Linked DNA regions of Lepisosteus oculatus. The protein of the gene in region 2 interacts with the protein of the main gene of each other region in a biochemical or structural test. Links are inferred from orthologs where the notes say so. Each region holds a gene or a part of one and is shown on either strand. Other genes may lie near its edges.

What was found.
Region 1: the proteins of atp7b (region 2) and atox1 form a complex in vitro, tested with the Homo sapiens proteins (3 studies listed by BioGRID and IntAct). The link is inferred for Lepisosteus oculatus from reciprocal best matches to the Homo sapiens genes ATP7B and ATOX1.

What each region holds. Positions count from the first base shown.
Region 1 is NC_090706.1:36,045,453-36,052,504, forward strand, and holds atox1 (copper transport protein ATOX1), read right to left. Parts: upstream 2,971-7,052; 5' UTR 2,835-2,970; coding exon 2,829-2,834; intron 2,666-2,828; coding exon 2,590-2,665; intron 1,754-2,589; coding exon 1,629-1,753; 3' UTR 1,607-1,628; intron 744-1,606; 3' UTR 523-743; downstream 1-522. Other genes in the region: slc36a1 (proton-coupled amino acid transporter 1), read left to right, coding at 5,728-5,758. UniProt on the Homo sapiens protein: Binds and deliver cytosolic copper to the copper ATPase proteins. May be important in cellular antioxidant defense.
Region 2 is NC_090710.1:30,595,265-30,602,163, reverse strand, and holds the start of atp7b (copper-transporting ATPase 2), read left to right. Parts: upstream 1-3,875; 5' UTR 3,876-4,858; coding exon 4,859-5,101; intron 5,102-6,899. UniProt on the Homo sapiens protein: Copper ion transmembrane transporter involved in the export of copper out of the cells. It is involved in copper homeostasis in the liver, where it ensures the efflux of copper from hepatocytes into the bile in response to copper overload.

The sequences.
Region 1 (7,052 bases), on a different chromosome or scaffold from region 2:
GTAATCATGAACAGTATCATACAAAACAGTTTTACATTTTATTGGTTTAGGTTTAAGTTTATTGGTTTAGACATGCGGTTTTGTACTACAAATGACATACTACTTCATAAAACATTTATGACAGTTCCTAGCTTTTTATGTAGGCTCTATGGAGAATGTCATGTAGGCATTTTATACAATTATGCATTGTTTGTGAATTAGCTATTTAAAAATATCAAATTCAAGTATAATTAACACTACCTTTCTGAGAACAGTAAGGTCTCCCACTCACCTGAAATCATGCTAATTTGTTTAAATACAGCTGGTATGAAAGCTGTAGGTTTCATTACTTCAGTAGTTAAATCTGGGTGGCAACATAGTTTCAAGACTAAAAATAAGAAAATCTAAATATAATATAATCACGTATACGTATACCTAACGGCAGAAAGAGAAGAAAATGGTGCAGTCTATTTGAAAAGACGGCTTGGGTTATTTAAGAGAATAAATATGGCATATCCTTTTTTTTTTAAATAAAACAAGACGTGTTTAACAATATTTTAATTGCAAAATAGCCTTTTAACAATATAGAAGTCAGTGGCACAAATGCTGATGAAGAGAAACAAAGCTTTCGAAAGCTTCAATGGTCCCCCACAGCCCATGACACTGATGGAAAGTTCACTTCACACGGCGAGTTTATTCTGCAAACTGCAAACACAAAGGCTGACCTTCTTTTCCTTCATAGCACCAGGGCATGCATAAGACACCTGTTGAGGAGCAAAAAGCAAAACAGATTCAGTATTTATGATATGAAATACAAGTCCTTGTTTCCTTTTGTAGACATCTAAAAACAAATTGTGAAGAGGTGAAACTGACTGAAAAAAATATTCCTTTACGTCCAAAAACGTTCCCCCACAGTTGCTGCAAACATTCCTCCATCTGCAACTTTACCCTTTTGTGTTTGAAGAAGTGGAGAATTCTTGTACCAACAGCTTTTTTTGAAAATGGAAATTCAAACTCCATTTGTCCAAACAGTTAAGACACCTAAAGAGACTCTCAGACTAACATCCCGAAAATTTTAAATGACAACTTCATTTGTGTTATTTTCTTTTGCTGATAAAACGTATGGGCCTAGCATGGTGATAGGACTAGATTAAAAATATGTATAGCGGCTAATTAACCCCCCTGTATATCATGATTTCACTGCAATTTCCCTCACGGGATCAATAAAGTATCGATCTATCTATGATCCTGCATTATCTTAAAAGATTGAAAGATACCTCCACAGTGTAAAGGTCTTTAAAGACGTCTTCTCCACTTGATATGGCCTAGCAAAAGAGGTCATTTGTTTTCTAACACTGTAAGAAAATTGCAGTTTGTGTATTTGATGGCCATGGACTACCTGATACTGGTATTAAAGGTCTGTCCTTATCTAGCAAACTTAACTTGTGCCAGTTATAGTATAGTCAAAACTGTACTCCCATAGTGCTGTGGAATGATCAAAGTTTAATGACCTAGATCAATAATGAACAGGTAGCCGTTATCAACACATGGTAACTATGCAATGTTACAAGTAAAGCTAATCAAAACCAGAATTCTCAATAAGATGTTCAAAATAACCCCTTTTCACCTGCTTATATTGGAAGAGTGATTCATTTTGGACCAATATACGTTACAGTTTTCCCCGTCTTCTTCAGAGTTTCAATAAGAACTTCTACACTCTGCTCAGACTCAATAAAAACCTTCTTATTGGGAAGGTCAATGTCAAATTTCACACCTATGAAAAAGAATAAAAGGAACTGAATGAGATCCTTGGGACAGGCAATGAATTAATATTGCAACGAAAAATTACTAGAAAAATCTGGTATGCAAATATATCGTAAATAAATTATATAGGTACTGTATATTCTACTGATGGAGGGGAAAGGGCAATGTTATGTTTTTGAATTTTTAAAAGTGCATAACAAACTGGACAAAATTGTCGTAACATTGCATTGCGTTATTAAATAACTATCAACGGTTACAAAAGACAACCTGCAAGAATGTAATAAAAAGGTCATAACGACACAAAAACTAGAAGATATAACACACTCAGCATGCACTGAGAGGAAAGAGCAATGAATAGAAGTAGAAGCGGTGTGAGGGCCTTTTAAAACATTATGGCAAAAACTAAACATTACATTATGGTGAATTAGCTTATGAAGATGGACACGCTAAATGTACTTTATTTTTCTTACTAAAAGCCTTTTTAATATCAATGTATATAGTGTATGTATAACCAGAGTAAAAAATACACAAAATATGACTACACATACACTTCTATCGTATGTGTAATCATGTGGAAAATTCAGTCATGTGATTGCTCCAAGTCTCTTCTCAAGAAACCCGTTAGTTAGCAGGAAATCGGATACTTTTTTACTATGTAAAACAATTACAGGTCAGGCAATAGATTTAATTTTCCGAGGAAATCAGATACTTTTATCACGCTATCTGGCTTTCGGTTTGGTGCCACTGTCACACTGCAACTGCGGTCTTTCGGCATCAGGCACTCCCTGTTGTTAATAACACCACGCACCCAGGGAATAAAAGTGAAAACTCATGGGTAGGACTTGCCTTGCAGTTTATTGAGAACGCGAGTCACAGCGCCTGAACACCCTTCGCAGGTCATATCCACGAAAAACTCGTGCTTCTGTCGGGAAGGAATCCAATCCATTATTTCATTACACCGGGTCATTTCATATTCCAACACTGCAATGATCCAGTCAAAGGCCTGGATTCACAAATAAGCAATAACTAACGCCATGCAATATAGACACCGTCAACATAAAACTTCTCGTCGTGTAGCTACTTGCCTGCATATTTCCTTTCCAAATATCAGTTACACCGTTCGACCCTCTTCAACTTTCCCGTCTGCGACTGTGTACTTTCATCACAAGTAAAATGCTTTAATAGTCTTCCCAGCGATCAGCCCCCTTTCCAGAAACAGGAGTCAGCAATGCTCGTTTTAGGGACGGTCATCAAGGTTCATCTGCATTTCGTGAACCAGAACTTGAATTAGAATACAGATAAATCTGCCTGATCTGGAGTAAATGTATCATGATGCATAAAAAATAGACATTATCTACAACATAAATATTTTCTGTTTGTTGCTTTTCACGATTCAGACATGAATATTGTTAGGGGAAAAAGATGAGTGAAATGATGACATTCCCTTCTACTATTATCGAGGCGCCAGGAAGACTTGTGGTACCTCAAGCATGGCTGTGGGTGGCGCTGAGTTCTCCCCTAAATCATTAATTTGCAGAAAAGTAGTTAACCCATTAGAAGCGACATTTTGAAATAATAAATAAGCATATGTGTCGATTTAATAATAGTAGTTTAATGTTCATCCACAGTAAATTCAGATGCATTTATTTAACTATTTAAACGACAGCCAAAAAACATAATACAAATAATAATAATAATAATAATAATAATAAAAATATTTTTTATTATACAATATTATTTATAAACGCTTCAAAAAACGCAAATTCTGTTAAACAACACACGCAAATAGAAGATTTTAAAATAAAATGTACACATCTAATCTGTATGTTAAAAAATAGAAAATTATTTTCACTGGAAAATGAAAGTTGGGGGATGCATTACATCCGCTACACTAATGACGAAGACTAGAAAAAAAAACCTGTCTAAAACCCGTCCACGCATTGCAGCAACTGTTTTTAAGGTTGATATGCCCATAAAGTGATTTTTTTCTTAACATGTGGACCTCCATTCTTTCACTCGGTGAGGTAAACTTCCTGGTATCCATGGAGAAGGAGTCGGGTCAGCTGACCTTCACGAGGCGGGGAAGTCACGTGATCCGGCGGCTCGGAGACTCGGGAAGCTGAACGCGAGATTTTGGTGCCGCTGAGCCGCGGTAACGCGACGAGAAAACACGACCCCGGTAAAGATGGTGTGAAAACATCTCCGCGGCGTTGATCACAGGTAACACTAGGCACTCTATGGCTGTGCCTTGCACCGATCGTTTCTGCATGCTGATTGGATTGAGCAGTGTTAGGGAAAGCAATTAGTATGCAAAGTGCTAGGATGCAAATCGTGCTAACACACGCTAGGATAAGGATCTAACATGCAAGATGACCGATAAAGCAGTCTAGATGCTCGGATGTTGCTTACTCCGCATTTGTTGCTCACCACGTCAAATAGTTTAGCCACCGGGCTAAAGGTATGTGTGACGATTCTTTACCATATCTGACAGGGCTTCAGGAGAATGTATCAAAGGTACCTGTTCTAGTACTTAAAAGTTCTTGCAATTGGAAACGTCTTTTCTTGATACGCTCGTATATTATGATGTACGTTTAAAGGCCAGCTGTTGGATTTTATTGAGATAGTGGAACCTTTCCATTGTATTCACCTAGTAACACTGTGTCTAGTATTATGATGGTTTTATCCTTGTGCTGTAACTTAAATCATTTGTTTTTTATTCTGGTTGTGAAAAACGTAAACTTGAGTCGCTTTGTAAAATGAAATGATGAAGGAAATTAAGTGCAGGGCATTCCATGTGCAAAGTCCTGGAAGCCAGTCCAAAACGTGTTAAATACGGGATTAGCTCAACAGATGCACATGATCCCATACATTTTTAGGCGCAAGTGTATTTTACACTGCAACTATATACCCCCAAGGGAAATACAAATGAAAGCGAAAACTACTCAATTATTATCATTTTAAGGAGGAGCGAATAAGTCAGAATGTTTTTCATTTTAGTTTAAATACAATGACTGCTTCTCACGACTGCGAAATCTGTTTTTTGCTGCTGCTGACTGACTCGTGGAAGAGATGTTCTCAGGTGCTTGGATTGTGAGCTTTTCAGCTAATGATTCACACCTGTGAATCACAACAATGATAATGTTGATTATTTAGTCTTTGGATGGGCTAAGGTACCATTCACTTAAAAATAAAATGACTAGTGGTGTCATAACAATCTATTTACACTTTTCATTGAAACTGACAACAGTTTTTATAGATTTTCTGTGACGAGGAATAAACATTAGCTTCTATTTGCTTGATTTAATTATTTCACATGGCTTCCCACTTCAGAATTGACCATTCTGTCATAGTAAGTTCTGCCTCAGGCATTAGAAGTTCAGACTGCAGTGTTGACAAGTCCTATAAACCACTATTACTTATTTAAAATAGAGTTTTTAGAACCAATTTGCTCACGAGTCTCTTTACTTGTCTCCCGTAAGCCTTGGCATTTTGGATTTAAAAAACACTTAGCCCTGAAAAATAACCTTACATCTGAACTAGTTTTATTTTTCTTCACTAGAAAACCTAGCTCTTTCTAGTAAAATAGCAGTTTAAATATTACTACTCTGACAATGTTATTCTGAAGTTATTGAAGACGAGGTCAACTTTCCTAACATATGGTATTTCACTGTTGTCGTGAAGTGAATCAGTGACAACGTGTTTACTATGTTAAATTAAAATTGGGAGCCTATTAAAAACAGGCAAAAGGTGGAATGGCAGCTTGTCTTTCTTTTCTGAAACAACACCCGATGCTGTTAATAAAATTGCATTACTCTGAGTCTGTGCTTGTATCTGATGTCCTGAGCTGCTGACCTTATTAGAGCAATCATATGTTGCTTTCTTCCTATTATAGAAGCTCTTCTGTTTGAATGCAGGGCGTTTGGAGTGGATTCCCTCAGGTAACAGTGAAGCTCAGATTGTAAAGTGGTAACCTCAGGACTACACATGACTACAGACGGCGCTAACAGCATCAATGGTAATCCACTTTATTCAAGTTTTATGACCTATGAGTCAGAGCTGGTAAGGCTGAAATATTGTTGGTCTTCAACCTAAAAGTGGTCTTGTTTTCCTTCTGATGCATTTTGGTTTAAAAAGCAACACTTATTTCACCTTAGAGAATGTATATGCGGTAAGACCATGAGACCGTAAGGGAAAGTCCCTAGAGATAGAAAAGGTCACAATTTTGTTTCCTGAACTGTACTGAAAATCAAAAAACAGTTTTGGGTGGGTGGCTCATTCCATGTTGAAAGGAAAAGAAGAGAGAGACAAGTTTTTGGCTGTGGAGCAACAGAAACAAACCCATTCAATAAGTTTCTCTGTATTCTCTTGGGAATCATTTAAGATGCCACACAAAAAACTGACTAGAAATGAATTAGGAGTTAAGAGTTAGGGATAAGGGACAAGTAGAATGTCAGAGAATGTGTATTTCAGATTGTTGTTTTGTAAGAAAAAGGCTGAAGGCTAGAATGCAACCTGACTGAAGATCTTATTATTGCACAATTCCTGGTACACTTTGCTGCAATTATAGCATAATATGTCACATACGTCCTCCTGACACGTTTAAACTCCCTTTAAATAATGATCGTTTTAAAATATTTAGGAATCTTTAGCGTTAGCCATTATGATGCCTATAAAATTAGACTAATGCGTGGATTAAAGTACATCCATAAATTACAATCCAAGAACACTTGGTGTTCATCAGGTTATGGCTTTGTAGTTTGCAAATGATAAATTCATTCACTTTTTTTTCCTTAAACTGACCCGGGACCAATTCCCAAGATCAGAATTACAGATAGTTCAAACACCTATAATGCTACTCCTCAGTATTGTAATTATAATATGGAAAAGAAATTGAACTGTTTCAGTAGACTGTCCTCAGGATTTCTCCCTTTTCACTGCAGTGATAACTAATGAAATGTTGTTGATCAGGCTGTATACCTCCCTCCAATTTGTGAAACTATTTTAATTAACAAAACAGTTGTCAAACTGCATAAGATAATGGGGCATGTATGTACCTTAATACATAAGGTTATTTGTGCACAGAATAAATATTTAATCAAAGTGTTCAATTTCTGTTTTATATTTTAAATAGTACTTTCATGTTATCTTAGTTTCCATCTTAACTCTGTGATTATGCACACACCACCTGGATCTCTTTGGTGTTATGAATCTCTCTTTTGTGACTTGAATTGTGCTACCATGACTCATGGTACAATATGCTCCGAGAAACTGCACTGGGCTTGCCAGTATTTGGTTCTTCCGTTTACAAA
Region 2 (6,899 bases):
ACTACTGCTGCACGCTGTAATGTTGTGCATTGGATAAATAAACTTTGATTTGATTTGATTTGATTCTGGCTCATTTTATTTTATTTTTTAAATTATTTTAGCAAGGAGCCTCTTCCACACACTTCGGTTAGTGCCCGTAACAATAAAGAGTGGAGGAGCGAGTTTTCTCCGCTTCTGAAAGCCTGCGCATTCATACAGCTGAACTCGGACAAAGCTCCAGCACCCCGAATGACGGAACGGCCCGCAATGGGTCTTATATTTCGCAAAAAGAAAACATCTTAACACACAAAAGGTGTCATGTTAACGCCAAAGGCAGCTTCTATAATATGGTGCATTGTTTTCTTGATTGCGATTCTTGGAAGAAAAGCGACACAGCCAAGGAAACACAAGTGGCTTTGATTGAGCGTTGCTTCGTTTTTTCATCAGGTTACATTTTGACATAATCTCCTCGTCCTCGAGTGTGGAAGGATATGTTATAAATAGCAGTTTTTATTTTCGTTATTCACCACTATCATTTTAACAACTGTTTATAACGCTTTATCGACATTAAATAGCCCACTTAAGTGCGATGAGATGTATTGTTCTGCGGTTGTACCGGCAGAAAGTCCCTCTAATGTGACAAAGATGTGCCTCGTTTTCCATTGCCACACTCGTGCATGGTTTTCCACAATTCTTGGATAAAAATCGCGCCCTGACGAGTCACCAGCTAATGGCCCGTCTGCTGTAACAAGAGGTCTCACAGTGGGTTTTTTGTTGTTGTTGTTGTTGTTGTTGTTGTTGTTGAACTTTTCGTGAATTGTTGAACGGACAAATCATTGTCCCGATTCATGTAACAGCATTCCTGCAGTTACTTTCATTCTTTGTAATTTAAGTAGATAATGTATTTGGAAAGCAATGAGATGTCTGTGACAGTCATGTGGCCAGCGCTAGAGTTACTTTTCGAGGCCCTATGAGCTACTTTCAGACGGAATGCAGACGGAATGCAGCGAGGCAAGTCACGATCGGCTTTCGCTGATTTTTCAAATTAAAATCCCTTCCAGTCACCATGTACGGCGCCTTCGAAAGAACATTGCGGGTCAAACACCAAATATACATGGTAAGCTCTTTTAACTATATTAGTAGAGAGATTTAGATGCCTGGGTGGTTTATGTGTGTGACAGGCAAAATGAACTTGTAATTAAACTGCATGACGGTCTCTGAATAAACATTTCGACCAAAAGGAAAATATGTTTGAAAATATTTCATGTGTTATTTGGAAAACGCTATAGGCCTACTCAAATGCATGCACTCCATCGTGTTTTGGAAATGCGCTTCATAAAGATGTCATTTACAGCAGGATTACGTTTTGCTACTAATTAGAGGCAGCACACTACATTAGCCCTACATGATGAACACAATTAGTTTTTTTTTTTCCGTAAGGAAAGCATTTTCCGGAGATGCAGAGATCTTTGACAGATTTAATCAATAATACCTCGATGTGGAATGAAAAATATAGCTACCAATACAGTGTTTTGTTTCTTTGTTCTGTTTGTATAAAATGAGACACTTTAATGTTATTTCCCGTGACATTTCACTTTTAAGCAGAGAATTGTGTTCTGGAAAATTGATTCCGAAGACAGAGGCTGTGTGCTGTGAATAATTATCGTGGTAGAGGAAGCGAGCATCAGGGTTTATTAACTTAAATGTTGACAAAAAGTTGTTTACACAAATATATAACACTTTATTCTGCACTTATTTGAGTGCAGAAATAAAACTGTTGTTATTGTTTTTGCTTCATGCAAAACGCTATCCTTTTGGGCACAATTTGTCTTGTTTTCACATATGTTTTGACAGTACGCAAAAGGATGGAAATACCAGCATTTTACAATGTGGTGGATATATTTTTGGCTATAGCGAAGTACTCATTGGAGAACTATTATACGAAGAAAATATTTTTGCAGTATTCTGCAGTTTGCATGATAAAACCTGGGTGTAGCTGTGTCATGTGCCAACTGTGATTTTCAACATTCCTATTGTAATCTGCGATGGGAGACAATGTCGACAGAAACACCGGGGCATGTATTTTACATACGATATGATACAACTCATCAGTGCGAAAGCAGCACTTTTTTTTCTTCGGTTAGAGCATGTCATTTTATGACACTGTCCTACACTGACTTAAGTGTTGCGGATGCGGTGCTCTTGACGAGCATTTTTACGTTTTTTTACACGTTTTTCGACTTCACATTTACACGCAATGGTAAAGCGAGAAGGCGCTGCCTGCATCTACCAAAAAGATCTTTGATTGGTTTTGAAAGTGTTGAATTCAGAAGACGAGGTTGCGAGTGAAGTAGGCCAGAACGCAAGTTGACAATGTTTTAGGTGAACATTGATGAATAAGCTGAATCTGTCTCTTCGGATAATTTGTTGGGGAGAAAACCAAGTCAGGAATACGGTTTATTTTTCTGAAGAAGGACGCAGACCAACTTTGTCTTATATAAAAAAAACTTTACTAACATAGATTGACAGATACCGATTTTTTTAAACAATTCCCGATAACTTCTGCTTTTCGTCCTACATCATATCTCTTCTGCCTCTTCAGATTTAGAGTAATGAAAAAACTTGCTTTCCTTGAGGTAGTGCGTTGCATTTAAATTGAGTCACGCTTGGAGAAGTGGGACAGCTACGTTTAGGACAATCATTCAGCGCTGTTCACTGCTCTGCGCTAAAGGTCAACGACTGTTACTATCACTGCAGTTCACTAGCCTACACGAATTTCATTAATGTTTTTTCAACCTGAAATCCTTGTTCTGGCGCCTCCTGTTGGACTCACTGCTGCAAACACGGAAGAACGATCTTCGATCTAAAGAGGAATACCGAATATATATATATTTAAATTATCATATCACATTATATTCGTTATTACAACACACGTAACGCAATCGGGTTGTTTTTTTTTCCAACAAATTCAAAATTACCCATCTAGATTAAACCCTTTGAATACCTGGCAAAATCGTATAGTATAAAATGTATTCAGTCCCGCGCCTTTTACACGCGACGTCGATTTATTTGGTAAAATCTCAGGGTTTTGCATTTTGTGAGTACAGGATTGAGGGAGAACAAAAATGTGAATGGCTGGGGAGGGGAAAAAAGTAAAACACTTGTCAGAAGTGGGATTCGAACCCACGCCTCCATTCGGAGACCAGAACACCCATCGCTCACGGAAGGCATCGAAACCTTGAGTCTGGCGCCTTAGACCACTCGGCCATCCTGACAGCTGGGAGAGAGCGGCTCCGAAAAGGCTCTTGGTTTGTGGCGCAGTTCCAGCTGTTTCCAGCATGAAAGCAGAAACCTCTGCCGCTGGTTTGTCCATTTTTTTTTCGTGTGTGAGCGAGCTCCGCGGCTCGGTCTGGGCGGAGAAGCCGTGTGCAGACGCCCGGCTACGGAAAGGGGTTTCTGAACGTTGCGTGACTGAGTGCCGTATATACTGTATATACTGGCTTATGTATATGATTACCTGTTGCAAAAAAAAAGGCAGTCTAAGCAGTTCGGGTTAGAAGGTTAGGATTTCATCGATTGGCTAGCCTGTGTCTTCTTTAGAAATTGTTTGCAAATCATGTACATTGGGCGTATTTCGAAAGGAATCAGCTCAGAACAGGTGTGAGAGGAGATCAGTGTTTCTTACAGTATGTGGGTTTGCGGTTTTAATAAGCTCAGTAAACACAGGCAAAGTTGTTAGTATGGTACTGAGAGAATCAATCAGTGCGCAAGACTGTCAATTTCACCAAATTAACCTTTGATTCGTCATTTAGGGTTTATAGGCATGAGATGTCCTGTATGGCTTCCTCACAAGCTTTGTAAGCTTTGGTTCTTGTGGAGGGGAAATGGTTTGGATCGGATATGTGTGTATTCAACGGGAAGAAAAGACCAAACCAGAGCTCGAAACTTGCAGTTCGTGTAGATTTGGTCGTGTCGCTTGTAAAGGGGAATTCTGCAGAAAGGGCAAAGACACTGACAACACGTTTTTATTTTTCCCACGTAGGTTTTGTTTTATTTTTTGTTTTGTTTTTTTTTTTTGGGGGGGGGGGTTACAATTGGGTCATTTTTTTATTTAAGAGTAGTTTAAAACAGCACGGGAAGGCATAGTTCAGCCTTGCAATGGAAATACAATGACAAGGACAAGGATGAGTACAGTGTAAAACAGAATGGCCCAAAATGTTTTTTTTGGGGGGATTGAACAGAGCGATATACAGTATGTTAGGATCTGAATGTATACGTAGCGCTTCGTCCCAAGAAACATGAGCAGCTTTTTTAAAGTCAGGTTTTCTAGTAAGGCTGTTTTTTTGTTGCTGTTGCTATGAATACAGCAAAACTCGAGCTAGTTCTCGTGTTTGTAGCAACAAGGCTGCAGACTAAGACGGGTTTTCCTGCGGCACTCAGTCACGCAACGTTCAGAAACCCCTTTCCGCAGCCGGGCGTCCGCACACGGCTTCTCCGCCCAGACTGAGCCGCGGAGCTCGCCCGCCGTGAGAGCCCGGCTGGTAGGAACGACACGGATTTGACAGAGGTTACGAGTGCAAAACAGGAAGAAAAAAAAAAAACCCGTGCCACGATGAGCAGTACCGTCGACCTCCACCGATTGGGAGTGATCGGGAGCTGAGAGCGCCGTGCGCTCGGCAGAGCCGTGAAGTGCGGTCTGCAACAGTTCAAAAGGCAGCGCTGAGCCAGATAAGCGAGCACACACGCTCACGCCCGCCCGGAGCCCAGGTGACAGCCTATAGGCGCTGTACTGCGGGCGATTAAAACCACCGCAGGGGCCGTAACATTCAATTTACAGCTTTTTTTCTTCAAAGAACAACCCCACAACAACAACAACAAGATGAAAGAGTCTTCACCCAGCGTGATTCGCTTATCCACATACGTTCAGAAGCCCAGCCCCGCGGGGTTCAGGAACCCGGCTCCGGGACGGGCTGCCGAGGAGGCGACCCCAGGCGCCTGTCCCTCCGGCCGGCCGCGCTGCGCCGCTGCAGCGGGCAGCCCGGGCTCTGAGCCGGGCGAGCGAAGGGACCTCCGTCCGCAACTGGAGGCGAGTTGTTCAGGAAAAGAAAGTGTCAAAGACCAGGTCAGTGCAACAATCATGGTAACACGGGGGGAAAATATTCAACGCAGCGCCCAAGTTCTGTACAGCAGAATTGAGCTTATATTTTTAAAGGTTTTGTTTCATTGCTGGTAAACTCAGTAGATTTGTCAGAATGATGAGGTTTATCATTACTATATATTTACTCCTGTATATACTGGATTATGTATATGATTACCTGTTGCAAAAAAAAAGGCAGTCTAAGCAGTTCGGGTTAGAAGGTTAGGATTTCATCGATTGGCTAGCCTGTGTCTTCTTTAGAAATTGTTTGCAAATCATGTACATTGGGCGTATTTAGAAAGGAATCAGCTCAGAACAGGTGTGAGAGGAGATCTGTGTTTCTTACAGTATGTGGGTTTGCGGTTTTTAATAAGCTCAGTAAACATAGGCAAAGTTGTTAGTATGGTACTGAGAGAAAGTGTGAGACAATCAGTGCACAAGACTGTCAATTTCACCAAATTAACCTTTGATTCGTCATTTAGGGTTTATAGGCAAGAGTGAAGTGTCCTGTATGGCTTCCTCACAAGCTTTGTAAGCTTTGGTTCTTGTGGAGGGGAAATGGTTTGGATCGGATATAGCTGATTGAACCGCATCATGTGCCTTCGTGCAGAGGAGTTTCAAGAGGCCTGAAAGATGCCCCATGTACAGTATTTTTTTGTTTGAAACACTGGGATCAAAACTGTGAATTGGTTTTGTTTTCTGTTTGTTAAATAAATCCAGAATAAGACAGTAAATATAAAATATATAAATAATACATTTTTTCTCCCTATCTAAAGCCTCACAAAATAAGCGGGCAAACGGAGGACTTTACATACAGTAGGCTGCAAGATTGATATGATCCCTTCTGAAATTATTGCAGTTTAATTTTATATAATAAATTACCTCTTGATTATAACAACAAAATGCCTCCGTTTGCATGACCACTTCCAAATGAGTTTTAGCTCTGAAGGTGATTTCTCAAAAGTCCTCCTGAGTGCAGAACTTATCTTTTATTCACAGTGTGCAAAGAGTTTACCAGGCACACACAAACATTGACTTTTTGTCCGACTGCTTCTTTTGAAACTTAGTGTCCTAAAATGTGTGGCAATTTTTAGAGGGGTACCTTTGAACTTTATTTTCTCAGAACCAAGAAAACGTACAGCAGGGTTACCAAAGTGTTTACAAAGAGAGATGCATGTTTTGGTAAGAGGCCGATTGCAAATGACGGCTTCATTCATGAGTCAGGAGTCAGGGCAAACAGATGAGTTTGACTTTAAGTAGCATCACAGTGCTGGGAGACGATCAGGCTCCTTTCCTGTACCTTAGAAGAGCCTCTAACAGTTTAACAACAGTTTGATCAACCCCGTTCCACACTGTGCTTTTGTTCATTCAATACCATTCTCTCCATCTAGGTTTGCAGCTGGAGAAGTCAAGCTTTTTGTCCTGTTCCAACACCTTAACGGGGACTCAAATGGGCTAAGAAAGGTTACAAATGAGGACGTTTGGTTCATTTGGGCCATGAGGACGTTAGTAGCTTATTGATAGAAGAATCTCCCCCTGCCATTTCTTGAACGAAGCCAGATATTGGCTTTAATAGCAAGGCGGGTAGCTTGTTCCATACTCCAACAGCCCCTGGGGTAAAAAGAAATTGCTGCATGTTCTCAGTTTTAAACGTTTTTCCGTGTAGTTTCCACTGATGTACTCTGGTTCACGCTTCACTGTTCATTCTGAAGGTGGACACCGACTTGACTTTGTCAACACCTTTGTGATTTTGGAATATTTTTTTTTATCGGCTGTTTGCCCA